4 separate regions of the Mus musculus genome follow, and regions 1, 3 and 4 are each reported to be linked to region 2. The links are microRNA targets in miRTarBase. Many come from high-throughput screens and were not tested one by one. Region 2 holds a microRNA gene; each other region holds the end of a gene's coding sequence.
Evidence for each region. Region 2 holds the annotated microRNA mmu-miR-503-5p (UAGCAGCGGGAACAGUACUGCAG, at 3,973-3,995, opposite strand). A microRNA usually pairs through its seed, bases 2 to 8, with sites in the 3' UTR of a target mRNA and lowers its output. Matches are read on the target gene's strand: a 7mer-m8 pairs with bases 2 to 8, a 7mer-A1 pairs with bases 2 to 7 and ends in A, and an 8mer does both.

Region 1: miRTarBase lists Tifab as a target of mmu-miR-503-5p. Seed matches in the 3' UTR shown: 7mer-A1 at 2,703-2,709.
Region 3: the mRNA of Acvr2b is a reported target of mmu-miR-503-5p. Seed matches in the 3' UTR shown: 7mer-A1 at 5,223-5,229.
Region 4: the mRNA of Lhcgr is a reported target of mmu-miR-503-5p. The part of its 3' UTR that is shown has no 7-base or 8-base seed match.

What each region holds. Positions count from the first base shown.
Region 1 is chr13:56,168,744-56,176,689 of GRCm38, reverse strand. It overlaps Tifab (TRAF-interacting protein with forkhead-associated domain, family member B), which reads left to right. Exons shown (of 3, transcript NM_001168615.1): 3 at 57-2,987. The coding sequence starts at 62. The coding sequence ends at 505. Gm31657 (a long non-coding RNA gene) reads right to left here. Exons shown (of 8, transcript XR_382472.1): 2 at 5,763-5,860. Among named protein-coding and RNA genes, the nearest start is that of Gm31657, 6.1 kb to the right of the region's middle.
Region 2 is chrX:53,050,055-53,058,070 of GRCm38, forward strand. It overlaps Mir503 (microRNA 503), which reads right to left and starts at 4,000; the gene lies at 3,930-4,000. It overlaps C430049B03Rik (RIKEN cDNA C430049B03 gene), which reads right to left and starts at 7,136. Exons shown (of 4, transcript NR_038185.1): 1 at 6,944-7,136; 2 at 6,604-6,715; 3 at 6,088-6,110; 4 at 3,058-5,436. Mir351 (microRNA 351) reads right to left here and starts at 3,299; the gene lies at 3,201-3,299. Mir322 (microRNA 322) reads right to left here and starts at 4,295; the gene lies at 4,201-4,295.
Region 3 is chr9:119,430,797-119,438,812 of GRCm38, reverse strand. Acvr2b (activin receptor IIB) reads right to left here. Exons shown (of 11, transcript NM_001313757.1): 8 at 7,475-7,589; 9 at 6,186-6,324; 10 at 5,970-6,100; 11 at 1-5,546. The coding sequence ends at 5,352. Among named protein-coding and RNA genes, the nearest start is that of Exog, 10 kb to the left of the region's middle.
Region 4 is chr17:88,735,663-88,743,678 of GRCm38, forward strand. It overlaps Lhcgr (luteinizing hormone/choriogonadotropin receptor), which reads right to left. Exons shown (of 11, transcript NM_013582.3): 11 at 1,612-7,475. The coding sequence ends at 6,332. Among named protein-coding and RNA genes, the nearest start is that of Lhcgr, 52 kb to the right of the region's middle.

The sequences.
Region 1 (7,946 bases), not on the chromosome of region 2:
CAGCTTGCCTGGGCTCAGAAAACTACAGAAGTGTGTCTTTGTCATGTTCTTCCCAGGATCTATGGAGAGGCCCCTCACAGTCCTGCAGGTGAGCCTGTACCACCCTACACAGGGCCCGGTCGCCTTTGCCCACGTCCCACAGCAGCTGCAACATGACGCCAGCCGGCTGTTGGTTGGGCGAGGACAGAACACCCATCTCCAGCTGCAGCTGCCACAGTTGTCTCGCTACCATTTGTCCCTGGAACCCTACCTGGAGAAAGGCAGCAGTCTGCTGGCCTTCTGCCTCAAGGTGCTGACCCGCAAGAGCTGTGTGTGGGTCAACGGGCTGCCACTGAGGTACCTGGAGCAGGTTCCCTTGGGCACCATCAACAGAATCTCCTTCTCTGGCATCCAGATGCTAGTCCGCAAAGAGGGGGGAGCCTCCCTTGAGACCTTTGTCTGCTACTTCCATCTCAGCCCTTCACCCCTGATTTACAGACCCAAGGCTCAGGAGACAGATGAATGAACCGGGAAAACTCTGTTAAGAAAGAGACTCCCCCTGTTTTGGGGGAGGCAACTCATGAACTCTCGAGGTCTCTCCACAGCCCCTCCCAGTCTCAGACAGCTGCTTCCCTGCCAAGCCCGGAAGAAGCAATAGAAACAAAGTTGCAGAAGGGGCCCTCAGACAATGCACCCCACTAGCCCTGCTGCTTGAGAGCAAACCTGACAAAAATAGGGTTTGAGATGGTAGAGCTATATCCTGTGAGGTTGACACACAGAGTTCACATGTAAAGCCTGCTGGCCGCCATGTTCACAGGGAACTGATTCTGTAAACTTTGAGCAGCCCATGGGGTGGAGAAATGCCCTCCGTAGCTCTGTGTAATGGGAACTTCATATACGTTTAGAGGCCCCCAGGGGTTCTGGAAGCCTCTCCCAGCATTCTGTGCCCCCCCCCATTTCCTCCATTGTCTGGCGAGGAGTTACTTTATGTTCTTCTGCCGAAGGGCAGGAACATGGGGTTGAAACAGGAATGCAAGGACACAGGGAGAAATTACGTTTGAGGTAGCTCCGGGTTCCCTTCAGTTTTCAAATACCCACAGGCGCTCAGGGCTTAGGAAAGCCTGTGTTTAATAAACTAAAAGTATTTCATTATGCTGGCATGCCCAGTAGGATCCCCTGAGGCCCAGATGGGCCACATGTATACCATGTTGTCATGTGGCTTTGGGGGCGGGAAACCTGGATGAGGTGTGAGAGGAAATTGGGAAGGTAGGTAGGCGTACGTTTCTGGGAAGGTTGCAAGTAGAACTCGGGGCTTTTGGTGGGGGTAAGGGGGGCTAGAAGCTAGGACTGTTTGGACATTTCTTTTCCTCCTCCTCCTCTCTCTTCCTCCTCTCTGCCCTCTTCTTGTTCCCTCTCCTCTCCTCCCATCCTCTATCCCTTCTGGACCAGAGCCTTGGTTGGCCAGAGGTCAAAGGTCTATGGTTTTCTAGAGAAGTGGGCTCTTTCAGAACTAATTCTATGGTTGGGATGCAAGGTTGTATAAGAAGTCAACCTAGCAGTTACCTCACTCAGAGTAAATCATATGCCAGCAAGAAGGGGGAGCAGGGGACGAGGGGGGTACCTATCCTTCCTGAACGGACAATGGGGGTGATGGTGGATTGTTAAGGAGCTAAGTAGGCAAGGATGGGAGAATTTTCTCAGAAGGGAGCAGAAGGCTAGCAGGGGGGGGGGGTGTTTACTCATGTGAGAGAAGGAGAGTCCCACAGACTCTGCTAAACACCATACCACCAGATCCTACACTAGAGTACCCCAAACACTCAGGGGACAGTGCTGCCAGCAGACTGATCCATATCCTCAACACCTGGAACACCACTGCCATATACCACCCCGTACCCCTTTGTGCCCAAATCCTAGGTCATATGATCATTACTGTTCCCCAGCTGAGCATGTCTTCCCCATAAGGAAACTAACACTAGACAAGATACATGCGGGCTTGGGAAGCCCCTCCTCCTACAGAATACAGACTGTGTGCACTCAGCTCACAGACACAAGACGTGTGTCTACCTACCTGCGACAGTGCTGGCTATACTGTGAGTGGCGTGTCCCCCTCCCCCCAAGACTCCCAAAGTACTTTCTCCCTCATTTGTCAATGAACTTGCACCAAGTGCCCACCTCACACCCAATATGTCCAAAGTCTCAGGATCCAGGAATAAACAAAGCCGGGAGAATCTGCGTGCCATCAGCTTGCCTGCCTCAGGAGGGAGAAGCGTTCGGGGACAGACAGCTTAATTATTTATCATGGCTGTTGCTATCTTCCCTCTCCTCTGTTCACTTGGAGTTAAGCCCTATCATCGAGTGGGTCTGATGTTAACACTTCTATATGTTCATCCCTCTCCTGGTCGAGTCACAGTGTAATAGGCCATCGAGTGCTGGAGCCAGCTGTCACTGCCTAGTCACTCCTTGCAGTCCCCTAGATAGACACTGGTCTCAAGCATAGTCCACAGGTAAGGACAGTAAAATTCAGAAGGTCAGTAGCCGGGGCCATCTCATCTGTGAGTTGGGTGACCTCAGGCAAGTGAGTTAGCCCACCGTGACCTAGATGTCTCCCTCTGGAAAGCCAGGACGATGAGTATTCCAACCTGCAGGAACAGCAGAGAGTATCTTAGGAAGTGGGACCTGGAAAACACCTAGTGCCAGAAGGAATTAAAAAAAAAGGGGGGGGGGCTGCTATCCTGAGACCAAAGACAGGGAAGCTAAAATATATACTCCTTAAGCTTATTACAAACTTGGATCTTGGGGCGACTTGAACCCCAGTGATCTGGCTCCAGAGCTCAAGGGCTTTCGACACTCTGTGACTCTCTAAGGATTTTATTTTCATTTGGGGCCTGGAGGGAGGAAAAGGGTTTGGTTTTTGGTTTTTGGTTGTTTTGTTTTGTTTTGTTTTGTTTTTTTTGTTTTGTTTTGTTTTAGCTGCCTTTGTATTAAAAGACCTGGGTTTGTAGAACAAGAGACATTCCTGGCTCTGGAGAGTAGAAACTGCCGGTAGTTCAGGCTGATGAGTTCTAAAGGAAGCACGGGTTTCCTGGAGGATTCAAGTGCTGTCCAGTCTGCCTATCACAGAGCAGCTGCCCACAGACAAAGCTTGAGATGACACTCTTAGAGACAGTGTGTGGCCACCAAAGGCTGAAGGGACCAGGCTCTCTGGGTGCAGCTCCTGGCCCCTCTGAGAACTTGTAGAACTGACTACAGCTGCCGACTGCCTCTCTCCATCCCTCTCCCCTCCAGGAGGGTACAACAACCCCGTCCCTGCTAAGGGCCCATGAGCTAGAGTAGAGTACTTCCCCCATGGAGACTGTGTGGTTGGAGGATTTTGGGTGAAGTGTCTGTGCGGTCCTCACACTGAAGAACAAGCTGGAGGGTGACAGGCCAGACACAGGAAGGAGAAGAGCCAGGAAACATCTGGCTTGTTTCACAAAGTCTCCTCAGGAGAATTTCTTTCTCCTCCTCCTCTTCTTTCTCTTCCTTCTTTTTTTTTTTTTTTTTTTTTTTTAGACAGTCTCACTGTGTGGCTCAGAGCAGACTTGCACTCACTGTCCTGCATCTACCCTCCCCAGTGATTCAGTTACCAACCGCCCCTGGCTTGTGTCAAGTGCTCAAGAGAGGAAACTCTGCTAGACTCTGCTCCCCTTGAAAAGTGTAAGCCTCGAGCTGCCAGATTCACGCCCCCTATTCTACTCCTCTATCCCTTGAAATTTGCAGGTTGACTTCAAGACTCTGGTTTGGGGATTTGACGTGGCTTCTCTTGCCTATGCAGGGTCCCCTCTCACCATCTCCTAACAATGTCCTCGGCTTTCCCCCTCCCAGCAGTGCAGTCTGTGTGGCCACAGGCGTGACCACATGGAAGCAAACAGAACATACAGACACACAGACACTCATATGCACAAAACACCAGTAGCTTCAAGCTGGGCTCTGGTCAGCCTGTTGTCTGGGCTACAACTCACATTGCTCACTCACCATCCCATGGTCTTTGGACCTGTGCTTCCTACATGAGAGGCCCTGTAGAGGTAAACTGAAGCACTGCATGTAAACGTGCCTGTGGCACACAGTAGGTGTTCAGGAGGGTCAGTGAGCATTGGCCAGTTCAGTGGACCAAGTAAAGCACTTGTGGTCCTGTGGACTCGATTGCCCATATACATATGCTGCAAACACACCTGCCATAAGATAAATTAATCCCTTCTGATCAGGTGGACCGCAGAGCCCTCAGATCTGGAGACGGACGATGTCTGGAAATTCAGAACTTCTGCCTTGCCCTGCCTTTTGAGGCTATTTTATCCTCACAGGCCTGGGCTTCAGTGACATGTGATTCTTCCCAGCCTGCCTGAGTCTCTGTATCCTCTCAAGGCTGTTGCACTCCCAGTGGCCGTGATGGGGCTGGCCAGAGGATGTTAGGCCAAGAGTGAGAATGAAGGTCTGAAGCAGACTTCACAAAGCAGGCATCGGCAGTCAGAGTCCCACAATGGAAGCAGCCCCTAAGGTCCAGGAGACCGGAGAGTATGGGAGTTCGAAAGATAGTTGTCCCTCCCTCTCCTGCTCAGTGGGCAGCCCAGGGCTTTGGAGAACTTGGCAGTGTTTCCTTTTTCTTCCTCCTTGAGCCTTTGTACCCCAACTTAAGTGGAACCCAGGTTTAGGGCATTTATATGGTGACTGACTGTCATGGAGAAGGGGAGACAGCTCCCTCTCACCAGCTCTTTCAGCCTCCAATAAAGAGGGGCAAGGCCACAGGCATGCCCAGGCGACCCTGAGAAGGGCCCTTAGCTGTGGCTGTCAGGAGTCAGTTGGCTAGCCCGGAACCAGGCCAGTTACCTGACAAATATCCTTTCCCTGGCCCCCTTTCTCGAGCATGCACCAGCAATACCCACCTTGCTCTGCAAGCTTGCCAGCTATACACACCAGCCCTGCTTGAGACCATAGAGCACCAGGAGACCACCCTGCCAGAGATCTGGACAAGATAGTTCTTAACCTGAAGGAATACTTATTGCTACACAAAGAAGCAACAGTCAAATTTGCCAGCAGGGCAACAAGGGAGCACCACCAGGGCATTGAGGGAGCACCACCAAGGCACTGATGGAGCACCACCAGGGCACCCAGGGAGCAGTGGCTCCATAAATGTGGAAAGGAAGCCCTAGTTGAGGGGCTCAGTTTCAGTCCTCCTAGTGTCTGGTAGAGCTGAGGACACGGCCTGAGAATCATTTCTATAACTACCCACTGCACAACCAGGTTGCCATCCATCAAGAGGTGTCACAAGCAAGCAAGCAAGCAAGCAAGCCTCATTGAATGTACATCCTCTTCCCCCCACACCCCCAAACCAGCTGGGGCACCTGCCTCCTACTCCATCCACTGGCTCCTGCTTCCCCTGCTCCTGCCCACGGCCTCTGGGTTGTAGTCACTCTCCACTGCCCCAGGTCATCCATCTAGCCAAGACTTGGGGGGAGGAGTTAAGTCCTAGGAGGAGATGCTGATTTTAATGAACTTGGTTCACATTGCAAGACTGATTCCTCTTACCTTTAACGTGAACTCGCAGGCGGATTAAAGTGAAATAAAACCTACTATTTGAGTTACATTTCCAGCTTATTGGAAACATGCACTACCTCCCCGCGACTGGGCCGTGAGAAGGGAAGTTATTATCTTTCTTTAGAGTTTGTAAACGCTTTATGGCCGAGGCATTAAGCCTGCCGGGGTTGGGGGTGGGGGAAAACGGAGGGGGAAAAATTGTTCCTGCTTACCTTTGCTTTCCAATCGCTTACTCCGGTGGGAAAGAAGCAGCCCAAGTGAGCGACGGAGAGCCAGGTGAGCCGCAGCAGAGGAGTAGAATCATTTTCTTCTGTAAGGCATGTGAACCAAAAGGACATTAAAGTACCATTTGGCAAGGGAGCTTGTTCTGTCCTCCAGAGAGGCTGCAACTCAACCCCACCACAACCTCTCCCTGTTCTTCTGGTATTTATTTCCAGGAGAAAAATGGCCTCCATCCCCGAGAGAAACCCATCTTAGAGAGAGTCTTTGTGAAGGGCACGACTCTGGACATTTGGAAGCAAGGAGGAGCCAGAGAAAGGGCACACCCAGTCAGGATCGCATCCATGAGGGAACGAGGAACTCACCGTGTGGACCTGGCTCCAGAGAAACAGACGATCTCCCTCTCTCCTCCTAATCCCTCTGCGTACTATCAGCACAGAGAAGCCCCCATGCTCCAGACTTGGAGTCCAGCTTTCTGCCTCCTGGAAGGAGACCTGCCCAGGATGTTCGCTCTACCTTCTCTTAAAGCTATGGAGACGGGGGATGGGGGTAGGGGGTCTTCAAAAGCAGAGGTTACCCAAGAAGCCAGTGCTTAGCCAGGCCTGACATTTCTGGTTTTCTTTTCTGCAAGCTCAGATGTCATGATTGCTAGAAGTCTTCCAAAGAGTCGGTCTCAAACAGGGACACTGTTACATATCCTTGTTTAGAGGGTTTTAATCATCCAGGACCAAGTCAGGCAAACAAACCCAGTTTCAAGTATTAAACAACAACAACAAAAAGAATTTTAATTTGAGCGATTGGAGCCCAGCACGGGAGAACTGCTGAGAATCTAAACAGGAAGTGGAATTCGGAGATTAGCATATACAGACATGGCAACCACGGCTGGCTGCATCCCTGTAACTTCAGTGGCCACTGAGAGAAGGGGTATCAGGGAAACCAGGCTCTGTCCTGAACAACCAGGAAGGCCTTTTGTGGAAATGGAGGCCTCTGAGGGAGGAACGGCTGGTGGCCAGCTGGGGCCACAGGTGGCTCCTGAGTTGGCAAGAAGAGTTAGAGATGTCTGGGTTTCTCGCCTCTCATGATCCCACCACCTTCTAATAGACCTCCCTCTGGCAGAAGCATCGGGCAAAGCAACCTGAGACTGGGCTACCTGAAGGGTCTGAGTCCCTGCAGCACAGAGCAGAGAAAGGAGAGACACGTTAGACACGCAGGCAACCAAACTCCAACGCAAGCCCTGTGTGTTCTGTCTCAGTCTTCCTTAGCCTTGTTGAGGCCCTAGGATAGCTACCAAGTAGGGTGTGTGGGGGCAGTCATAGGGACCTCATTGCCAACCTCTCCCACCTAAGCACCTGTGGGCAAGCAGATGGTACAGCCTAGTAACACACAAAGAAAAGCCAGGTGTGGTCTGGCTTGGCTCTCATGCATTCTTATCTGGATGCTAAAGTGCCCTGCTTTGACGGCCTCCTTCTGGGGAGTCATGGCACAGAGCAGAGAGAGAGAGAGGTGTCCAAAGAAGACCAATACTCAAATCCTCACTGTTCTCCATTGATTCTAGAAGCTTCCATTACACATGCCACCTTCTCCTCACCTATAAAACGGGGATACTGTTAGTGCCTATCCCACCTCTGTGAAGATGTCGGGGGGGGGGGGAACCCAACATATAAAGCAACTTAGTGCATGGACAATGCATTAAGTGCCAACTATCTCGTTAGCCATCAGATCCTTCCAGAAAGACCCCTGACTGCTCCCACTGAGAACAGCCCTCTACCATCCAGCTCCACGTCAGTGCTGGGACCTTCAAATGGGACAGTTATCTGTGGCACATTAAGTCCTCATTTCCATAGGGGTCAGTATGATGTAGTCTGGTTGCTAGAACTTCTCACCAGAAGAACCCTATATGTGGCAGAAACGCTCTCAGACATGATTGACAGCTGCCTGGCTCTCAGTCGGTCTTCAGTAAGGCCCTGAAGGCAAGAGTGGGGTGAGCTATGAGGAAAAATTTGATTGGGTAAGAGCAGGCTTCTAGGGACCAAGCCCAGCAGACACTGGCTGAAGCCTTGATAAAGCTGTTGCTGGATGGCAGTTAAAAATGGAGTATGAAAGGCCAAGTGCTCAGGCTGTGGATAACGAACAGCTTCCCTCCTGAAGTAGTCACTGAGCCCAGGAGCCAGCGGCAG
Region 2 (8,016 bases):
ACTCGTCCTTCTTAGGACTAGACAGTTTCAACTAGACCTTTTCTAACCAAACACACTAGTTCAGCTCCATTTTCTGTCCTAATCACTATGGTGTAAGCTTCTGATGGCCAGGCAGGAATGTTACCTGGCACAGCATGAAGTCTGCATGATGCAGTTTCCCAGGTTTCATCTTCAGAATCCTCAGGTCTCTCGAAACTTTGTCTGCCTTACTTATCTCTCAAAGTTGTAAACAACAAATCTATGAAAGCAGTTGGGGCCGTAAGTGAACAGAGGAAATGAAGGCAAGTGCTGAGATGAGGATTGTAAAGATTTGGTTTCTAGGGCACAAACATTCTGCCTTCACTCTGCAGAGTGGAGGTGGGGGAGGGGTAGCAAAAGACCCGAAGGAAGGAGTCAGGCTGCAAAGCAAGCAGTATTCCCAGCCCCCAACAATGCCCCCGACTTGGAGCTGGGGAGGGGAGCGGGAGGGGGGGAGTGCGGCGGAGGGGGCGGGAGGGGGGCACGCTTTTCAATTTTCACCACTTGCTCCGAAGACAGAGCTCAAGAGTAAAGGGGAGTGCTCCAAGGCTGAGGGACCACAGGAAATGGAAATCGTTAGAGGCTCCTCCCACAAGGCTCTAAGCCCCTTTAAACTTGAGGAGGATATCAATTGTGGACCCAGTGCAGGAAACAGATGAGTGAAATATTAGGACAGAGCCAGGAGATCCTAGCTCAATGGATGGGCATAAGGCAGGCTGAACTGGGCCTCGGAGATACAGATTTGCTATGATTGGTGTATACATACTGTGTTTCGTTTTAAGAGGCATACAATAACTCTACATAAAGATGAACGTATAAGTTTCTGGCATCATGAGAAATGCTTCTGGACAACGGGAAAATAGATCTCTAGAAATTAATGTTAACTTGGTAATGCCCACAGCTCAAGTCTTTTGATCTCTATCAATATATATTCATTGATCTTCCTGAAGCATACTTTTTGAACCTATTTGTATTTTTTTTTTAATCTGCACCGTCTCTCAGGAAATCTGCCTATTAATTAATTTATGTCGTGTAGATTCATCATGTTTCCCTTGCTGTTCCCTCCTCCTCAATGGATTGACAGGTATGGTGCTTTAGAATAATCAGTAAAATAATGGGCATTGCAGAGTCCTTCTTGGGTGTTTGTTTAATTGGACAGTTGCCCATGTTACTGGACATCAAAAGCAACACAGAATTATTTGGTCTCCCAGCACTGGAGTGTATCCAAATGTTTTCCTGTTTAGGATTCAACTTTTCTCCTTGTCTGCGTGCATGCATAAATGCTTTACACAATTACATTTGCTGACTTTTTCTGTGGCCCTGGTTATTGGCATCTAGTTTTTCCAAGTAACATTGACACACATCTGTTCAAATCAATTGACGCTTCTATCAGGACTGACTCATTTGGTGGAAAAAACAAGTTTACATGCCAACTGGAACAAAGGAGCCTAGATTTGGGGGAATAGCAGGAAAAATGAAAACGGTGGGGCCGGATTATTTGACTTACAGATCATAAAACACTTTCCAATAACATTTTAAAAAGGTATACAATATTACACTAGTGACTGGTTATATACTGTACCCCCCTAGTTGGGTGGTTTTCAATATCTAGTGTGGTAAAACGCATATAAATTACAGTTTTTGAAAGATGATTGTACTTTCTTGGAACAGGAGTCTTCTGTGTCCACATCCCCAAGATTGTTGATGTAGTGTTCCCTTGTTGGAAAACCAAACCAAACCAAACCAATATGGCTAGCAGAAGATGCCTTCAGAAGTATTCCTGTTATTAAAATTGTTACAAAATTATGTTCAATTCTAGTGTATCACAATAACCTGAATATCTTGTCCTACAACTTACAGAAATGTCAGAGTTTAGATTTAGAGCCAGGCTAAGCTTTTCATAGTTTTAAGAGCCATGTCTGTCTAGTAACCTTTTACAATGCCACGTGCACACAGCTTCCTCACTAACAAATAACATGTGTTGGGGGAAAAAAAACGGAGAAAACAATGGAGAGGTGCCTCTTTGAATGTGGTAATGGAGGATCAATTAATCAGCCGACCATAAATTGAATCACTTTATACAAGTCTCCCACACATTATCATGCACATTTAGCAATGTTTGAAAAACAATTTAAAAGAATACCTTAGGGAGTTGTTAAAGGGAATTTATAATCTGGAACGAATTGCCATCTTCTTAATTGACATAGAAGTGTTTGGCTAAAATATTGCTTTATTCACATTTTGCCCTTGGAAGAAAATCGAAGCACATCATAACTTCGACTAGGCAAATAAAGGTGCGAAGAGCATTTCAAATCAAAAAAGGGCACCACGCAGCCAGGTGCTATGTGGATGAGCTCAATTTTGGCGCCCTTGGGCACCTTGGGCTAATGGCATCTTAGATTCTTAGTCAGTGGCCTTAAACCTGGATCATTTGCTCCTCTGCTCTAAAGTCCCCAACCCACCTGAATCTCACTTGAATCTTGCAGGCACCCACTGGAAGCAGCCAGATGGCGCAGGCCAGATTCTTCTGGGTGAGTGGGGGCCTTCAGTGAGCCCCGGCGCTCTTCCTCTGGCATAAGGCAAAGCCCTGTTGAACAGTGGAGATGGAGAAGGGAAGTTGGTGAGGGAGAATAGGAAGTCTCAAAGTGCCCCTCCTCCAACCCTGCGCATAGGAACGCGGGGCGCCTGAACCTGTTAGCCATTTGTCTTGGGGATTCCGGGCCAGAGGGGCCCTGCCAAGGGGAGGGGTGAGGCAGGAGCTGGGGGGCGTGGCTTCAAGAAGCCAAGGAGATGGGGGCAAGGCGTGGCTTAAGTTCCAAGGGGTTTCAGTGCTCCTGGGAGCCAGGGGGTCCTTGGGGGCCCAACGGGACCCAAACCACCTCCCACACCTTGTTCAAACGCAAAGGAGTCTGGGAGAAAGGCATTTGGTGGCTAGAGCTAGACTCCCAGGCTCACAAGGCCTCCTCTAACTGTACCTTTTATGGGGGCCTGCACCCAGTCCCTGGGGAAGATGACAAGCAGTTCATACAGACCAGAAGGGTGTGTGTACATGTATTTTATTTCTTTTTAATAAGACAAAGCAGCACGATTTCACCCACACTCCGTTTTCCAACAGTCCTTTACATGCCTATACTCCAGATTATGGAAAGTGATTTTCACAGGAAAAGTACAGTCTTGCTCCAGAAGTTTAACACTCTTCTCCAGTTCCCAGGCGCCTCTTGACCTGTTTTTTTTTTTCACTCCAGGCTCAAAGGGCTCCTCAGGGAAACGGAGGTGCCATGATTAATCACAGCAGAGTTTGGGATGTCACAAAGCAGCCATTTTCTCAGAGACTTCTAGGCAGTGACAAGGGTGTCCCCATGTCCCCACTGCCATGTAGAATTGTGTGATGACTTTGGGAAAGGGGGATAAATGGGGACTAGAAATGCAGAGCCTCACTGAGGCTTCCTGTTGGGCCATTGCCTCTCATTGTACCACCTGGGGGTCCGCACCAGCAAGACACGAAGAGATCCAGGGACACTCCCACGGACCCCTTAATCTTTCCTAAACTGCAAAGAGAAATGGGGACTTTCTCAAGTCATCCTTCCTGCCCTTCAGAACCCTTCTTATTCCTTTTGGAAGGACCCCTTCTCCATTTTGTTGTTGAGGACTTAGGACAAATTTTCTTGTTTCGCTCTTGTGGGTGGTATACTACTTGATGACCAGGAAGTGCTTTTTTTTTTTCCCAGTTGATTCACTTTTACCTGAGCAGCAAGTGAGGCGCTAACAACACACTTTCAGTCACACCCAGTCAGAGTCACAGATCAGCAACTCTAGTTGGGAGCTGTTCTAGAGTCTCCCTCCCATGGGGCCTATGCTGCAGGCTAACCGAAACTTACCTGGTGGGTGTGCCCATGTGGAAGACCCAGACTTACCCAGGCAGTGGAAACAATACTCCAGGGCACCAAACACTCACTGCAGTACTGTTCCCGCTGCTAGGGCACGACTGAGTGGGATGGGCTGAGTACAGGATGCCTTGTCCCTTCTTCAAGTGAATTGCCACCTTGCTATTCACACCCACCCAGGCCCTTGGACTGTGTAGAGTGACCCTCACTAGACTAAGCCCCTGCCCTCCCACCTACCTGCTTTAGGGCTTTTAGTAGAACCCACACAGGTCTGTTCAGCAGGTCCCCACCTTCTACATTCCCCACGAAGGGGTGTTGCAGCGCTTCATGTTTTGAACCTTGGCAATACTCCAAAACATGAATTGCTGCTGCAGCCCTTCGGAGTCAACGAGGGTGGGGGCCGCTCTGGGGTACCTGCGAAGGAAGAAAGTCTCTGTGATTTCCAGGATCTGCTGGTGAGGCAAAGGGTGTACTGTTGGAAAGCAGGGTGTGGTGGATAGTGGGGAGGAGGAGACTCTTACCTCAGAAAGTAGATGAAAAGTGGGATTAAATAAACTGAGACAATTTGGTAACATCTGGATCACTCTTGCCAGCTCCAAAGTCTTGGTGAAACTTCCTGCTACCTTGTATAAGTCTCATTTATTGTCCCCGGGTTTTGATCATTTATTGGAAATTGGTGCAAGGAACTTTTGATAATCAAAAAAAAATCCCTCTGGGTAGTCCCAGTTGGTTTTACTGAATACTATAGGCATGGAATAGACTTGTCTAGTAGTTTCCTCCGTTCTTACAGTAATCACCTCGTCATTAGTTATTTTTAAGGACAAAGCATGAGAATGTTCTAGATGAAACATACATTCCTGGATGTTCTCATACATTGCTGGCTACTCAAGCTTATTTATAAAGACATTTGTTACCATCGACATCAAATCACAAATCAAGAACTTTAAATAAATGACATCCTTAAATACTTGATGTTAAATACAAATCACTCCTTCTTAAGCCACGCCACTGAAAATCTTGTCTTGAAATGGCCGGCACTGTGCGCTCTCCTCAGCTCCCACTGTTGCTTTTCAAAATGGACACACATGAGCAACAAGTTACATTCATTTCCTTGTTTAAACAAAGCATTCAGGAAAGCACAAAAACCATCCTTTAGTCCTTAACCACAAACCTAATAACTAAAACAACAAAACTACAGTGCCTTTGAAAGCAAAAAACATTCTGTATACAAATTTCCTGTATTCTCATTTAAAATTATGTCCGTTTTTCGAAACTAGTACAATGAATGCTGGGTCCTTTTAATTAATTAATAAAATATACAGAGTATGTAATTAAACTAAATACAAAATTCCTAACATAACAGATAATGATCCAGTGCTAACATATGCATTGCTTAGGTCATGATAAATAAAGCCATTAATAATAACAGCCCCACTCCTTAAGTTGGAATGAAAATTCCGTCTTTTCTTGGCTATATTACAAGTCATTTTTACATGGACACGGAATTGTGGAGGAAAAAACCATCGATGGTCACCTTTAAAAAGAGGAGAGAGAAAAGCCGTGTTTAGTAAAGATACAATTATACTTTAAAGATACGTATTTTTCTCCCAATTTAACTTTATGTCCCACACAAATGTCACATCAGAGATTGCAATTCCTCTTAATTTAACATTTCCTTAGTTGACTACTCATAAAAACAAAATTCATTCGAGATAACATCATCAAAAACGAAGGTCTTACTAGATAATTTTGTTAACGAATACACTGGAATCAAATTCATCTCTAGATTATCCTTCATCCATTTCTTTTCTTCCCATCACTCTACAACGACTTATATCCTTAAAAAGCCATCTCACTCCCTGGGTTTGTGTATTTCCCCTTGGGCTTAACTTTACTTACGAAAAGAGAGCACAAAGAGATGTCTGGTCACTTCTAGAGAGGGTCATTCGCTGATACAATAGACAAAGAATCAATACTTTAGGGTTACCATGGCCCCACCCACTTCAGAACCACGACGGGTCAAAATGGCCCCACCCACTTCAGAACTGCGAAGGGTTTGGCCAAATGATTTAAGAGCCAAAGACTAAGCCTCTTCCTCTCTTCCCAGTTGAGAACGTTTTGTCTTTTAATGTTGCAGATGCCATGCGCCCCCACACCCAAAACATGATGCACAGGTCCTCCGCACCTTCCAGCCAAACTTTTCCAATACTGGAAAAAAAAAAAAAACAACTAAACAACCTTGAAAAGTTTTAATTAGCGAGAGACAATGGAAAACGAATTTTACGGTTCTTTCCAGGACATTCTTTACTGCTTACAAATGAGTGGCCCAAAGTCCCATTTACAGTCTGTCAAAACTAGTTGCTCCCCACCCTGGCAAGGCTGACAGCCTGAGGCTGCCCGCCCCTCACTCATTTCTCTCTCCCCACCCCTCCCCGTTTACTCTTCTCAGTCCACTTTCTGAGAAGTTCCCTGGCCACACTCACTTGCTAGACATTTTAAAGATCTGTCCTCCCCCCACCACGACCCCCGGACACGCTTTCCACCCCCACACCCCACCCAGCGCGACGCATAACATTTTTTTGAGAATTATCCCCGTATCTGTTACAGTCTGTAGTGACCAGAGACATAGTTGGGGGCGGGGGGAGGCGGGCCAAAAAGTTCCCTTCCCCCTCGTTTTTTTCTTTTTTAGATTCTAAGTCACCTCTCACTCCACTCGAAAATGGCGCCGAAATCGTAGAACTTCTTAAATTTCATTGTAAGCTTTTTGCAAAGGTTTCTGGGATTTTCCTGCGAAGCTGCTCCTCAGCGTCGACCTAGAAAACAAGCCGGGGAAGCTAGAGAGAGGAAGGAAAAGGCGGGCGGGGAGGCGGACAGACAGACGGACAGCGAGAGAGAAAGGGCGGAGGGGTGTGGCGAGGTTGTGAGGTTAGAAGAGCGAGTCGCGGAGACTTGGGAGGGCGCGAGGTGGCGGTGGTGCGGGACATCGAGGGACAGAGGGACGGACAGCCGGGGAACCGGGGTTCGCGGGGCGAGGGGCTCACAGAGAGGCGTGGCGGAGAAGAACCGGAGCCGGGACGGAGCTGGGCTGGAACCGGGCTGGAATCGGGCTGGAACCGGGCTGGAATCGGGCTGGAATCCGGCTGGAATCGGGTTGGAGCGGTGCTGGAGCCGGCGGAGCTGGCGGAGTTGGGCTGGAGCCGAGCGCACCCCAAGAGGCGAGCGGGAGCAGCCAGCGCCCAGTGGTCCGCAGCAGCCCTAGAAAAAGCCGGCCCGGGGGGCGTGGCCATGCGCTGCTCCGCGCCCCGCCCAACCATTCGCCCGCTCGCTCGGAGGCCCCGGAGCGGAAGGGGGGAGGGGGGAGGCCGTGCGGACACGCAGAGCCACAGCCTTGGCCTGCAGCCAGGAAGGGCCGGGAAGGACACGGGGAGCCTGGAGTGGCCACGTACAGAGAGCCTCATAGCCGCGGGTGCAGGAGACAAAAACCAGGGAGAAAGGGGAAAGGGGAAAAGCGGGAAGGGAAGCAACCAAGCTCCAGCTCAAAGACCCATGCCACAAATGACACTCTAAAGTCACTAGGGCCCAAGTCTTTGGGGCTACCAGGAGGGTACAGGGCGGCTAAGCCAAGCCTCTTAGGACTATTTTTCTTGGGGGTGCCTGAAACAGGATGAGGAAACAAGGGACCCTCAGATTGCAGAAGGGAAGTGCTAGGCGCGCGAGTGTGCCCAGGCTCTGTTGAGTCTTCTGTGCTCTGGCCTCTCTGCCAAACTCTCCCTCAGGTAGAGGACTCCCTTAGGTCCTGGCGGTCCACTTTAGGGGTGGGCATGACACTGAGGCAGGGAACGACAGTTTACTTATACATGTCCAGTCCAAGAAGGAAAGTCTTTACTACTTAAGTTTTGAGTCTGGAGTAGGGAAAGAAAGGGAGTCTTTCTTCTGTATGCTGGATATCTTTAGGGACGGCGCTGTTTACCAGGGAGGTATGAGAACGGTGTTGAAGTTAATAGCAGGGTGTCCAGGGTGACAAGAACTGTGCCTAAGTGTAAAGAGATGAAGTATAAGAGTGATTATGATTTTCAAATGATGCCGCTGACCCAGACAGGCACTCAGAGAGAAG
Region 3 (8,016 bases), not on the chromosome of region 2:
ATACCACTGCCAAAGGGGAACCCGTAAGCCAACTCCAGGCTGCCAGTGTATTCAGGAAGCTATGCATGCACTAAGCTAAGCTCCCAGCACTCGGCTCCAGGGTGCACATAATCCTGACAGTAAAGCTCATTGGCTTGGATTACAGACGCATTCTCACTTCGACTCACTAGTTTATAAAAATAATCTGTGGTATAAAACAATCTCCATACTGTGTGGAGGCAATCTGTCAAGAGATATAACTAAATATATGTGTGGAGCTATAGACTTCTTAAAGTAAAATTTCAAGTGGCGTCTGTTATATAACTTACTCTTATTTACAGCACTATCTAACAACACTGGTGTAAAGTGACCAGGAGCCAGAATGGGCCCATGCAGGGTGGGTGCCCCAGGACTTGAGGCAATGCTCGTTTATTCACAATAACCCACCTTCACGTGCCTGAAAAAACTAATGGGTCACACTTCCCCCAACTGTAAACTCAAAAGCACAAAGTCTACAACCGAATGCAGTAACTGTTCTCTGCAGGTGTTCAGAACACCCGTCTGAATCGATTACCACACGCACCCATAGGGCTGCACACACTAACTCAGCCTAAGCAGTGTAGACACCGGCCTGGAGAGCAAGGGGTCAGCGCAGAGCCCACTACCCCTCACCGGCATGAGGAACAGGAACTTTAATTCTTGGGGAAATCATGGCCCGGAGCTGCCGTGGATGGGGGAAATGGCGCTGGTCTGGGCACTAAGGAGCTCCACGGAGCACCAGGAGGGCAAAGTCTTGCTTCCTTCACACCTGGAAGATGCCAGCATGAAAATGCTACAGCTTGGTTTAGTGCCAGCAGACGCAGGCATTCCTGATCTCACTGCAAACGGTCAGCCCAACAGTGGTTCACAGTCATTAATCACAGATAGGTCCAAATAGCACTATCCCAAGGATCCCACAAAAGAACTTGGGCATACTTATTGATACGATAGTTCACGCGCCTCTTAAACTCTCTTTCCTTCTTCCTTTCTTCTTTAACGTGGTTGAACCAACTAGTTGATTTCCAAGGGAGTGTTTTGACCTTCAGTTTCTTTTTCCTATAAAACTAAATTGGTATCGCAAAAAGCACTTTCCTCAACATCTTTCTAAAGGTCTGGGGTACATCCACAGGAGGGCTGCTGGCTACGAGTCAACTACCCAGAACTGTGTGTGAAGAAGAACTAGGCATTTAATCTTGAATGCATGGAGCGTTTAGCATCTAGATTCTAAGAAACCCATCAGCTGAGTTACTGGGCCTACTTATATAACATGATGTTAGCTGAGGTTTAACCTCATCACTGCGCTGGACAAGCCAGCTGCTGAGCACTTCTCAATTTAGCCTTTACAGACAGCCAGGGATGAAGAAAAAGCCATGTCTCCAGGTTCTGAGAGGAAAGGATTCCTGGGACACCATCCCTTCCTGGCGGTTTCCCACACTTTTAGGAAAGCTGTCCTCTACAAGTCCTGCCTGAGATGTGGACCAGGCTTGATCACGTCCAAAGCTGTGTCTCCAAAAGCCCAAAAAGATGCAACAGCTGATGCCAGAGACCAAGCTGAGCGACCTGAGAGCTCCTCAGATTCAGGGATTCATCTAATGAACCATGTCCTAAGAACAACGGCAGGAATTCAACTCACAGCACAGTAAGCTTTTACTGCATTAGTTAAGTAGGAAAAACAACGAGGACATTCTCCTAGCCACCAGGATGCACCAGGAACTTCATACACTACAAAGGTAAAAGTCTGTGTGTGAGAGAACCAAAGTCTGTGTGTGAGAGAACCATCCGGCCCTCCAGCTCTAGATGGGACAGTCACTTCTTTGCCTCAGTGGCCGAGCATAGGAAATGCCACATGACAGGCTCTCTGAGCCGAAGAGCACATGGCAACCATTAAATACCTATGTAGGCTGGCCACCAAGAAAAATCCTTCACAGAGCCTAAGCCCTAGGGCAGAGTAGGGTAGAGTAGCAAGACAGAGAGTCAAGGGCATGGTCAATGCCAGGGATGAAGAGAGACCAGAACAGACAGGATCACGCACCTTGCTAGAAGCTCAAGCCTGGTCAGGAAGGCCCAGCAGGCCTGGTAGCCCAGTGATGAGAAAGGGATCCGCCCTTCCCTGTGGATGTATGAGCAGAAGGCCCACATTTCCCCCTGCATCTGGTGTCCGTGATACCAGGCCAGCCCATGCTAGCCCATGCTAGCCCAGATGCTAACAACTGCTGACAGCCTTCCTCGGCAACCTTGTCAGTGAGTGTTCGAGACTCAGCGACCTTGCCTTTACTTGCTTTGTCTGTCTCTGACTCACAGACATTTCCCTCAACAGGTGACTTTTCGCTGTCACAGGTATCAACCGGAACATTCTCTGCCAAGGCTGGTGGTCATGGGCTCTGTTTGGAGTGAAGGAAGGAGGAAGCACCCGCAGCCCTTCCCCCCCCCCCCCCATGTCTCATCCTTTGCCACACAGAGGGACTTCCTCCTTGGTCGTCCAAAAAGAGGGAGAGGGGAATAGATACAAAACCTGCAGGAAAGTGTGAGGCAGAAGCCTCAGGTCTCAACTGGGCACAAGAAGGAAACTAGAAGGAAAAGAAGGGAGGGAGGAAGGAAGTTAAGCTTCCGGGCCACACCCTGGAATATCACCCACCTTCCAGCTATGAGCAGCTGGGTATGTTACCTGAAGGCAAGAGGGAGTCTACAGCCCCTACTCAGAGACACCAGCACCCAAGCTCCTCCTCTTTCCTGGCCACAAAACAGGAACCCTGTCTTGACAATCAATCCATTCTGACAAGAGGTCTGACAAGGACACTGCCGTGGCTGGACACAGGGCTCACTGGGATGTCCCATACCAGAGCTCAGCCAGGCCAGGATGCTTCTGACAACCAGCAACACAAGAGAAAAGCCACCCAGGGTCCTGACACCACTCAGGGAGCTGGGTTTTAGAGTTTGGCACTGTATGTGACTGGTGACTGGGTCACTCCTGCAGCGAAAGAGCTACATTCCTTAGTGGTTGGTTTGTTAAGGGTTAGAAGAAGGGGTGTTCCCACCGCCTGAGGAGAAAGCTAGAGAAAGGAGATATATGGCACTTTTCAATAAATAGTTAAAGCTCCTTAAAGAAACAAATGGAAAAGAAAGCAACTGCTCTAAGACTTGTTAACCAGTGGAAAGTATTCTGAGACAAGAAAATACCACAGCACAAAATCAGATGGGGTGGGGGGTGGGGGGGAGGGACAGACATAGCTTAGAGAGACAGAGTCCACGTCCCCTGAACTCCTCAGCCAGCCCACACTGACCCACGGAAACATACTAAGTCTGAGAGGAAGGGAAACCACTTAGCCTTCCTCAGCACCCTGTGCACAAACACCCACAGAGAAAAACAAGCCCAGGAACAACTCAGGCACCACACACAACACGCCGAGGGAGCGGCTGCCCAGCTGTGAGCCGTGCCCTCCCAGACATCACAGCGCAGTTACTGGCCGGACAGAATTCCACCTGCTGCTGCTGCTGAAAGAACTGAATGTCACAGACTGTTACCTCCGGTGGGTCTGAGGGCCGTGCTACCACCAAGGTAAAGTGGGCGTGTTGTTCCAAGTGCTACCCAGTGGACCTCTAAGCAATCCGGGAGGAAGTGGCCTATCTACCCTCAAGGTCAAGAGGTGTGCAGTTTTAATGATACAGTCAAAACCAGATGAATGCCCGTCTCAGCCCAGACAGCCAACCTACAGCTGGTGCCTGCTATTCACAAGGGCGCTTTTATCAAACAAAGATGGTAGTACTGACTAGAAGACACAAACTTTTTTTTTCTTTTTCTCTATTTCTTTTAAACTTCCTCGTCATAAAAGTCAACTTACATTAAAATATACTTCCTACAAGACAACACAACTAACAAAATATATAATTAATAAAACATACACAAGTAGAAAATTCTGAGGTATTTCTGGTTTGAGGTGGTCTGTGGCCGTGAAGTTACTTCTTTCACTTTTTAAAATTTAAGCCTCGGAAGCCACACAGCAAAGCATGTGTATATATGTGGATGTGTGTGTTCTGTCTGAAAAAAAAAAAAAAAAAAAACCTTAGCATGTTTCATAAATTAAAAAAAAAAAAAATCCAATGTCGAAACAGCAGCATTAAGAACATTCACCGCCTGGAGCGAGCGAGGTTATGGTGTAAGAGAAACACAGTTTAAGAATATGCACCACTTTAAAAGGGTCTGGAGAAAGCCGCACCCGTGAGCCTCAGAGAGGACTCGGTAATGCCGCACTGCATGGGGCCATGCCAAAGCTGCAGGCTGGCATGGTCCCCACCAGGGATCCTCTGGCCCATCCACGCTGTGCAGGGTCGGCCACAGGCATCTCCCCAAACTGCCAAGAGGAAACTGCAGCTCGGTATTTCCTCCATGAAAGAGCTCTACAGCGTCATGTATAACGAAGAATGTCCACTAAACTGTCACGCCCTCACCTGGTCCTAACACAGGAGCAAGGTTGCGTCTTCTCCCATGGCCAAGCCCGTCAGTGGGAAGAAACCAGACAGGTGGGGCAACCTGACCCTTGCTCTTGGGCCTTCTCCAAATCCTGTGCTTGCTATTATTACCGCTTGGCCTCCACAAGGTCCTTGCCCTCAACCCCTTGTTACCTGAGAAAGTAGCCTCCATAGCCAAGGGTGTTGCTCCAAATGTGCCCAAGTCCAGTGTAGCTCTGCTCCGCACCCTACCCAGAAGCCTCCCTTCTGGCTTCAGACTAGACCGCCCTCCTGATCGCAGTTCCCCGAGGCTGGGTCAGGACGACACCCATTACACCCACGAAGACAAACACAGCCGCCGTTTCTTAAGCTCACGGCCTGAGGTGGGAGAAACGCAAAATAAAGGGGTGGGGGTGGGGGGCCCTCTTCGGAGGAAGGGTGTGTCCGTGTAACAGTCTTCAAAGGTTCCTCTAGTAGAGAACTGCAGCATTGAGTTTCCTAAGACAGGAGTTTCTTTGTGTTACAGGTTCTGAGACGACAGAGAAAGAGGGGAGATGAATCCGAGGGACAGGAGGTGGCTGAGGCTCTTCAGCATGGCGCCGCTTCTGCGTTCACAGCTCAGCACCGCAACGCCTGCTGACGTGTCCGCTGTTTGCAATACAGTAGAACAATATGCTGGTAAAAACTGATCCAATCCAAAAATAATATTATTAATAATAATTATAATAATTATAATAATAATAAAAGTCAAGGTAAAATAGCAGCTGCATTTTATGTGTTTGTTGGTTTTATGGGATTTCCAAAACAAAACACAATTCTTTTTTTTTTTTTTCCTTTTTTTTTTCTTCAGATCCACTGAGTCTGGAGAGACGCTACGTGTCCCGGGCTTAGATGCTGGACTCTTTAGGGAGCAGGTCCACATTGGTGACGGAGGTCACCAGAGAGACGAGACAGTCCGAGGTAGTGCCGTTGACCGACCTCCTGATCAGGGATACCCGCTCTTCTACACAGCCTGCAGAAAGGCGAGCCTCTGCATCATGGTCCCAGCACTCCTCGATGGTCACGCAGAGCTGGGCCAGGCCCTGCAGAGGAGGGGGAGGGGGGAAGAACCCTTGTTAGGGCCACCTAATGAAGGCAGCCAGTGGGTCTGTGTGAGAGGATCAGGAAGGGCCTAAGGCCCTGTCACCACCATCGCAGGTCAATTAGCAGTCCCCGAGACCCCTCTCCTCCCAGTCCAGGAGAATGTTCACTAAACTTCACCACAGGCCGCTCCCCGCAGGCAGCTGCAGCTGCTCATCTTGGGACACTGGGACTCAAGTCAAATAAACACCAAGCCCAAACACAAAAATTTGCCCAACGTTTCCATGTTGAGCTACAACAGGTTCAAGAAAGAGGTCAGGGCCTACCTTATTCTCCACAACCTCTGAGATATGTCCCTAGAGTCCCGGGAACGCGGCAGCTTCCCCTTCACACCGCCCTGTGATTCCTGAGCCCAGCCCCCTCACCGGGTGTTTCAGCCAGTGATCCTTAATCGTGGGCCTCATCTTCTTGTGGACAACCACCTCCTGAAGCTCCTCCAGCGAAGGGTGCTGGCCAATCTCCTCCTCGAAGGGCAGCATGTACTCATCGACAGGCCCTGAGTGATGAGGGGCTGATGGCATCACCCGAAGCCCGGCTCCAAGGCCCCAACCCAGGGTGCCCAGAGCCGCCAAACCACTCACCGTCTGCAGCCTTGCACCGAGAGACGAGCTCCCACAGCACCAGGCCCATGGCGTACATGTCGATACGCAGGAAGGCGTCTCTCTGGAAGTTGATGGCTCCTTCCAGCACCTCAGGGGCCATGTACCGTCTGGTGCCAACCTACAGGCAGACAAAGGGCAGGATCTCCAGAGACCAGCTACACTCACAATCACACTCAGCTGGGAGAAGCGCCATGCACCAGGTTGGGTAAGAGTGGAATTCTAAGCAGGAAGCCTTGGAGCCAAAGCCTGCTCCATCCCGTTTGAGGCAGAGTGAAGATTCCAGCTGATAACTGTGATGACACCACGAGCTGGAGGCAGTGCTTATCGGACAGCTCTGCAGGCCCTAGGACATCCCAAACAAGCTACTCTGAGGCTTTGCCTCTGATGGTACCTAAAGCAAAGCCAGACACTCAGAAGGCTGAGGCAGGAGAACCAAAAGTCCCAGACCAATCTGAACGACAGAGACAGACGCTCTAACAGACCAGGGGGAGATGAAGAAGTGACTTAGCTCCTAAGGAACCTGTCACTCAAGTGTGAAGATGAAAGTCTGGATATCCACATAAATGTAACAACCTGCCTGCAACACGGGAGACAGCGATGGAGTCCACAGAGAAAGCCGGCTAGACTAACTGAAGAGATCTGGGTCCAAGCAAAGGACCCAGTATTAATCAACAAGGTTTTAGGTGATCAAGGAAGGTGCCAGTGACTACCTCAGGCCTCCATTCCCAGACATGCCACTCATGTGGAAACAGAAATACACACGCTAAATAAACAGCAGAAATCAAAAGGCCGAAACAAAATGTCGAGAGCATGTTTAACCCACAGGGAGATTCTCCTAGGATGATTGCTGGCTTAATTTTCATGGCCTTTGATTTTAATCTCGCTTAATAACTAAAACTGAGGGCAAGCAGGTTCCTCGGTAGTAGGTGCTTGATGTCAAGCCACACGACCCCAAGTTCAATCCAAGGAGCCCACATGATGGGGAAAAAAACAGATTCCCTTACACACACACACACACAAAGATAAATATATTTCATATATATACAATATATATATAATAAAATTACAACAGAAAGAGAAAAACTGAAATACAAGGAGGAATTGCTGAAGCCCAAATTGCTAGCCTGGCTGGAGGAAGCCTCACCAACCTCCGGCCTTGGTTTCTTTTCTCTCTTGGTGAGTCTACGTCCCCAGGTAGCTCTATCGCTCCAGCGGAGCACAGAGCATCAGCCGCTCCAGCCCCTCCTCCCAGTGCCCAGGTCCCTCACCTGTCCATGGGTATCCCCAGGAGGCTTCCCTGGCTCAAACCGAACAGCCAGGCCGAAGTCAGCCAGCACCGCGGTGAGGTCGCTCTTCAGCAGTACATTCTTGCTTTTGAAGTCCCTGTGGAGACCAAGCGCCAACTGACACACAGGATCAAGACTCAGCCCGCCTCGTGATGACTGACCATGACCCTGCTGCCACCATGGCTCTCCGAGCACTAGAGTACGTGACCGCAGCGCCCAGTTCAAACCATCCCACCTCTGTGGGGCAGGAGACAAAACAGCCTGGGAGTCCTGGGAGGCTGTGCCTGGCAGCTGGGCAGACCCTAGACCACGCCACTAAAAGCCAACCAATAGTTTCTCACAGGGCATGCACATACTTCTGCGATTTTACAATGTTTGGAATGTGAACAAGAATTTAGAATCAACTGCTAATGCCGCACAGGCAGGGTAGCGCTGGAGTGGGTGCAGGCACTCAACCCTGCCTAGGAAAAAACAGAAACCAAACCAACCAAACGAACAAAGGCGTGGCTCAGAAATCCTAAGAT
Region 4 (8,016 bases), not on the chromosome of region 2:
TAATAGATGTTGTCATATACCCTTTTATAGTGGAGAAAGTGTGTCTTGGGAGGGTAGAGTTTGCTGTGTTGGATGTCTGTGAGAACATCATACATCCTCATTTGGTGCCAGTGTACTTGGAGAACTTTGCAAACCTTTCTTCTGCTCATGTCTGATCAAGTGCTATCAAATGCTCTTTTTACTTCCCTGCAAGCCAAGATCTTGTTGAAATTGCACAGAATTAGTCTCGCAGGGACCACGTAATCGACCTTGCCTGGTCTTCTTTTGCTTGTTTTATTCAGTGTACAGAAGACCTGTGTCAGTGCCGAAGATGTGCAAACAGTCCTTTGCACAGCACAGGCTTCACAGAGCACCACATTTCTAATCCTAACTCACATCTCAGTGTTTGTCATTTAAATTTTGTGAAGGAACTAGGAAGTTTGGAGAGAAGAGCAACAGCTAGTTATGTTAATGGGGAGGGGATTTAGCAGGACTTTATTTTAACTCATACTCTAGCAGGTTAATCTTATACTGTTTTCCATGTAAATATTTTCTAGGTCAACTGGGAACACTGTGATTTATAACTAGAAATCCAAACTGCAAGCAGGAAGCGTACAGTATAACTCACAGGGAAAGATATTAATTAAAAATGTGGTAAAACATCCTTATTCAAGAATAAGGCATCTCAAGACCCCAGTGTGTGCATGAAGTCACGGCAGTGTCTTTCTCTACACAGGTTCAATGCTACATAGTTCATTGCTGTGTTAGAGCCATCTTTGCATCACCACAGTTGCACTCTGTCCTGTCATTAAGTAAAACAAAGGTGATTTTGATGTGATATTGTGACAGAGAAACTCATAACCAGGGTGTCTGCTAAACGACAGTACAGTGTAAATATGCTGGACAAAAAACATGATTCAGTCCTTGTGTGGTTGAGTGTGGTGATATGATTTCATTGTACCATGCAGGAAAGTGGTCAACCAAAGCTGTGACAATTGCTTATTTCTGGAGTTTTTCATCTAATATTTTCAGGCTGGTTGACTATAGGTAATTGATCACTCATTTTGAGGAAAATCATTTTCATGCATGTGGTGTATATGAAAGAGAGAGAGAGAGAGAGAGAGGGAGGGATAGAGAGAGAGAGAGAGAGAGAGAGAGAGAGAGAGAGAGAGAGAGAGAGAAAGTGCCTGAATGGAGGTCAGATGTCAGCACTGAGTGTCTTCCTTCATCACTCTCATCTGAGCTTTTGAGACAAGGTCTCTCATTGAATCTGGAGCTCACCAATTCTGCTAGGCTGGTAAATCAATGAGCTCCAGAAATTTGCTTCTGTCCACATCTCTTAATCAGTGCTAGGATTACAGATGCACATTTCTGCTCCCTGTTTTTATGTGAGTCCCGAAGTTCTGACCTCAGGTCCTCATGCTTGTGTGGTGAGTACTTGATCAACTGAGCCATCTTCCCAGCTAAGAAAAGGTCATTTCTTATATGAGCCTAGTTATTGAAATCCTTTGTGAGAAAGGTTCTTAATTTATATTTAGTCTTAGTACATTTAAAAAAAAGTAAAAGCAAGCCCTTTATAACAAATGTAGTAAGCCGAGAACCAAATACCAATGTTTTTTTAAAGTTATTTTTATAAGTTTAGATGGTTTATTCCAGGATGATGAATATTTTAAAGACATTTTACAGTCGATTTATAACAATATCTAACATGGTGAGAAAATACAAGAAAGAGTCATGAGTTCATTGAGGGTTTATGATTTAGATGTGAGGGATTATACAGGACAGTAACACAGTTTAGACATTTCCAACATGAAATACTTCTTAACAATAGCAGTTTTATATTTCTGTTTTAAAAATGAACTAAGTTGAAAAGCAGATGTGTTAAAATAGTTTTTCTTGCTAACACAGGTGAAGTAAGGATCGGTTTGTGTACGTAATTAATATGCCAGGATAAATAGAAGGGAAAGAGTGATAGAGAATGCTCAAGAAGTCTAAAGGAGATAGGGAGATGGCTCAGTGGTTAAGAGCACCAATTATTCTTCCAGAGGAGCAAGGTTGGATTTCTAGCACTCACACAGTGCTCACAATGTTCCGTAGCTCCAATGCCAGGGCATCTGTGGGCTCCAGGCATCATGCATGTAGTTCACATGCAGCATACAGATGTGTAGCTAAAGAAGTCTGTAGAGAGACCGTGATGGGTTACACATTTGTCACGTCCTTTATTTTACACAGAGGAGATGTCTTAAGAAGTATAATACATCAGAGAAGGGCTCCAGCATGGCAGTGGAAGGGAATGGCTTTGGGAAGGGTCACTGAGTCCATTTGCTTCAAGAAGAAAATAGCAGATGAACGGATGAGCAGATCTGAGGACAGGTTCTAGAGTTCTCTCAGTGCTAGCCTAGGAGTAGGCAGTTATCCAGGCGCCGAGGAGCTCCTTGGGGACTCTGTGCAGGCATGTATTGAAATGAAATAGGATTTTAGGAAGGTTCATCAGTGGTTTGAATGGTGATGAGGAACCAGAAATGACTGGGTATGAAATACAAATTATATAGTTATAGCAAAGTCCAGGAGTAAGTGGAGAAACGTCTTGAGTTGCATGTGTGGCTCTAGGACACAGAGTAAAGAGCTGGGTTAGAGGAGAGTTCAAACATAAAGCTTATGGGAGGGAGGATATACAAATGAAGGAGACAGCAAACTATGACTTCACTTATTAAAACTTCAGTTATGATGTAGAAAATAAGGACCATTATTTATGTAAGAGGTCATGGGTTTTCTAACTCCAGAATTGTCTCCCTTTGTGATTTCTTTATTGTTTCTATTTCCATTTTTAGATCCTGGATGGTTTTGTTCAGTTCCTTCACCTGTTTGGTTGTGTTCTCCTGTAATTCTTTAAGGGTTTTGTGTGTGTGTGTGTTTCCTCTTTAAGGTCTTCTACTTTGTTCTCTTGTATTTCTTTAAGGGAGTTATTTATGTCCTTTTTAAATTCCTCTATCATCATTATGAGATGTGATGTTAAACCAGAGTCTTGTTTTTCTGGTGTGTGGGGAAACTAGGATTCACTGTGGTGGGAGAACTGGGTTCTGATGATGTCAAGTAGTCTTGGTATCTATTGCTTATGATTTTTTGCATTTGCCTTTCACCATCTGGTTATCTCTGGTGTTAGCTGGTCTTGCTGTCTCTGACTGTGGCTTGTCCCTCCTGCAAGCCTGTGTGTCAGTACTCCCAGGGGACCAGTTCTCTCAGGGAGGAATTTGGGTATGGAGAGCTGTGGTACAGGGTAAGCTCTGGAGTGCAGAGACCAGAAGGATCCTGTCCCCAGCTGATCCTTGCTTCCTGTGTCCTGATGGCTCTGTGAGTGTCCGTCTTGGGCCAGGAATTTGAAGAGAAGTGGTAGTTTTACCTGTGCTCTCAGTTGGGTAGGCACTCCTGGGAGACCAGCTCTCTCTTGGCGGTATTTTTATATGTAGCTCTGTGGCACAGGATCAGCTCTGGGTGCAGACAGAGACTGTAAGACTCCTGTTCCAGGCAGCCCCTTGGTTCCTGTGTCTTGAGGGTTCCAGGCAGGTTCTGCTGAGCAGCAGTGGTGGTTTTATCTGCACTCACAGGCCTGTCTGTGCTCCTGGGAGGCTCCCTCCCTCCTGGCACTATTTGGGTATGGATTCCTGTGGCAGAGGATCTGCTACAGGTGGAGTCAGAAACCAGAGTGCCTGTTTACTTTTTCTTACTACATTGTTTTTTTCCTGGGGTTTATGAATCAGAAAGACTATCATGTAGTTATATAAGTAGTTTGATGAGTTAGTATTCTGATGTGTTGCTGAGACAGATTCTAAGATGAGCAAGAAAGGACTCCACCTGAACCAAGTCGTTCTTTATGGAGCAGAGAGGTCATAAATGTAAACACAGAAGAGATTTCTCTTTATAAATCTTACAATCTTCTTTGAATCATTTTATGTAATGACTTAAGAAATGAAAGCAAAGTAAATGTGTTGAATCTAGTTATGGTTAGACATTTATTTAATAAAATGCTCACAGGAAGTTGAAAGCTGGAAATAGCCAAGATAGCTATCAGTAGGAGAAAGGAATTTTAATATTAATACGGTAGAATTTCAGTTAGCAATGAGAAGGAATAAATGGATTCAAGCAATCAAGTGGATGAATAGTAAGAATAATAAACTAAGTCCAAAGCCATGTGAAAAAGCACATGTTTTATAGACCTGCATTTATATGCCATCTAGGGCAGGAAACACTAGCCTGTGGAGAATATCGGCCATCATCCACAGTGAGGAACTCTCTAACTAACTAGACTAAATCCTGACACAGTGTGGCTGACATAGGTGTGTGCTGTTCTCAAAACTCAAGTGGCACATTTAAGATTATACCAACAACGTAAATAAATATTATATATTATACTCAGTGAATATGAGTACTGACATTCATTTACACGGGGGTGTATAATGTATTCTCTTGTGTAAGACTAATACCTGCAAATTACTTTAAAATATCAAAATATGTAAGACATTGATTGACAGATAAATAACAGATAATTGCATAGTAATGTATGAAAGTCAATATAGTAACATATGGCTTGCTGTAAATAGTGTTGATGTATGGGTGTTCACTATACAGTTTCTCCAACATTTCTGTACATTTGAAAATGTTCATAATAAAATATTGGGAAAACTTAAAGAACGTTGAATGTATATAAGCTTTTAAATAACAAAACCTAGCTACCTAATAAGTATTTGTCTGTCCATCTGTCAGTGTATCCAATTTTTTAAAATTTATTTCAACGCAAAGTAACTCTTGGAAAACAATGAATTTTTTTTAACAGTATGGGAATCATTAAAGAGGCTAAGCTTTGTGAGGACCTTTGAGATTGAATCTTTTTACTTGAATCTTTTCCTAGTTTTCAGTACTTTCAAAAATGGTGATGGTCTTTTTTTCTTGTATAATATAATGGCATCTGAACTGTAGAGTTTTCTGAAGATTCAGTTGGTGAGATTATATAATACACTCACCAAGATGCTGTGTGTGTAATGAACTTTCAATCAAGAAGGAAAAGGGGCAAACAAAAGCTGCGCTGTGAGACCTATCAGTCGGGTGTCCTGCAAGAGCCAGCTGTAGGAAGTAACAAGTGCTTCTGACAATATTAGATATATTTCCCAATAAAGTGCCAAGCATAGAAATAATGGGTTAATAATTTTAAAAATTTGAATATTTTGTTTTCTTAAAGGTGCAAAGGTACCCTATGGAAGAGTGAGGGGGAGGACTGAAGTAACTGAAGGGGTTGGCAACCCCAAAGGAACACCAACAGTGTCAACTCACCTTGACACCTGGAGTTCCCAGAGACTAAGCCACCAACCAGAGAGCATACATGGGCTGGTCTGAAGCCCCCCTGGCTCATATGTAGCAGAGGACTGCCCTGTATGGCCTCAGTGGGAGAGGATGTGCCTAATCTTGCAGAAACTTAATGCCCTAGGGGAGGGGGAATTCTCTGGGAGGGGCACCCTCTCAGAGGCAAAAGGGAGTGAAGAACTCTGAGAAGAGATACCGGGATGGGGACAAAAAAACATAAAGCCTGTAACGATCAAAAAAATATACTAAGAAACATTTCTCCATGTATCTCTAGAAGTTTAACTAGCTAGGCACACTTGCTGTGTATCATTTCCAAGATCCCCAGATAGGAGATGAGGAAACTGAGGTGGGTTCCTGCCCACAAGGGGTTCATGCTCTGTAAGCCAAACAAGTATGCAGAAATGTGCCTTCAGATGGAAAGCTAAGTGAGTAGAGTGTAAATGGGAAATAGAAGTCTCTAGAATAGAGCTGTCTAATAGAATTCCTTGCACTGATGAAAACAGTTTGAATCTGTGCCTCCTATTACTAGTGAGACCCACGAAGCACTTGGGATATGGCTAAGAAACTTTTATTTACCATGTAAGGCTAACAGCTATCACGCTGCACAGTGCATCTCTTGAATGTATTTATCAAACTATCTGAGGACAAAGACCACTTTAAATTTCCAGTCTGTTATGAATATATATTTAGAGATGGCAACATGAATCACAGATTGAAGTGAAAAAGATCAAGAGACATGGAAAATGACAACAACTTAGATTTTCTTAATATTAGATTCAACAAACAAAAACTATTCTTTCTAAATTATTATAAAAAATTTTCTAAACCCTTCTGAAATTTATGTCACCAAGTGTCTTGGGCCACCCTTTGAAGCAGGTTTCAATTCACCTGAAGTGCTTAAAGATAAATATTTTTTCTAAAACACATTATATTAAAGTGACTAATTTGGGTGGACTTTTTTGGGGGGAACATATTTAGATACAATTCAGTAATGCAGTTACTGAATTAACACTCTTGGAGGTGTAGGTTGTTGACAGTGCACTATGGATAACTTCAGGGCAGCCTGGGAAGGCTTACTTGATCTTGGAAAGCCGTTTTTGGAGTTGAAGGTACATGCAGAAAATTCCTTCCTTCTGTAAAGTTCAGCCCGGTGCTTACAGCAACCAAATCTGCTCAGCAAGAGAAAGAAATCTCTCTGAAATGCCTTCGTGAACACTGCGTACAGAAATGGGTTGGCACAAGAATTGACAGGATAAAAAAGGACCAGCAGAACTTTTGAGTTGGTGACAGTGATAAGGGGTACTTTGAAGGCAGCTGAGATGGCAAAGAATGAGATGGGTGCCATGCATGTGAAGTCTGTGAAGATGAGGATGGCCATCTTCTTAGCAATTTTTGTGTCCTTGTTAGGAGCCGTCAGCTCTGGATTTTGAACTGCAAAGTATATCCTAACGTAGCAAGCACAGATGACGACAAAGGCCACTGCATTGAGGAGCAAGATGGATAATATGTAGACTTGTGACAGAGTGGATTCCACATCCATGGGGAGGCAGATGCTGACTTTCATGTAACTGCTGACACCCACAAGGGGCAATGTGGCCATCAGGGTAGAAAAAATCCATCCTCCGAGCATAATTGGGATGGCATGTCTCAGCCTCAGCTTTTGGTCCAGCTGAACAGCATAGGTGATGGTGTGCCACCTTTCCAGAGTGATGACTGTAAGGGTATAGACAGAAAGTTCACTGGCGAACACAGTAAAGAAGCCAGCTGCACTGCAGCCACTCCCTGTCTGCCAGTCTATGGCATGGTTATAGTACTGGCCTTTTGTTTGGGAGTCTACTGAGGCAATGAGCAGCAGGTAGAGCCCCATGCAAAAGTCTGCAAAGGAGAGATTACACATGAGGAAGCGGGGCACCGTCAGTTTATAACGACTGGTCAGGAGAACAAAGAGGACTGTCAAGTTGCCAAAGATGGCTAGTATATTAATTAGCCAAATCAACACCCTAAGGAAGGCATAGCCCATAATATCTTCACAGGGATTGAAAGCATCTGGTTCTGGAGTACATTGGAGTGTCTTGGGTGAACAGAAGTCATAATCGTAATCCCAGCCACTGAGTTCATTCTCCTCAAAGATGGCAGAATAACTGCAAGACAAACATTGGCTTGAGGGAAACAGAAACGGTTCCCGTGATTCTGAGTATTAAAAGAAATTCAAGAATCTTTAGTGGGCTTTTAAAGCTCAAGAAACAAAACAAAACAAAACAAAGCCATCATGGTCTTAGCCTTACATCTATTTGTTAAATTATCTCATTTGATGGAATTCTTTCAAAAGAAAATGAAAAGCTATCTAGACACTATAAAATATATCTGCTTAACACCCTGATGCAAAGACTTAATGACGCTCTTTACAAGGAATGATTTTCTTTGAAAAACAAGTTTAGAGACATAATATATACACACTAAATAAAAAAAAGTCCCTTCTTGACATTTTCTTAGCTATTCATCTTATTTAGTTGCTAACCAAATTGCTAACAAGCTGTTTATAGTAGCACACAGTGGGATTGGATGGTTTGCAGCATTAAGAATCATCAACTAGTGGGGACTTGTTTGCATTGAAGTCCCTGGTTAATCCAGTGTTCCACATGGGTACTGGGAATCAAGAGCAGATGGCTGAGAGTATAGGAG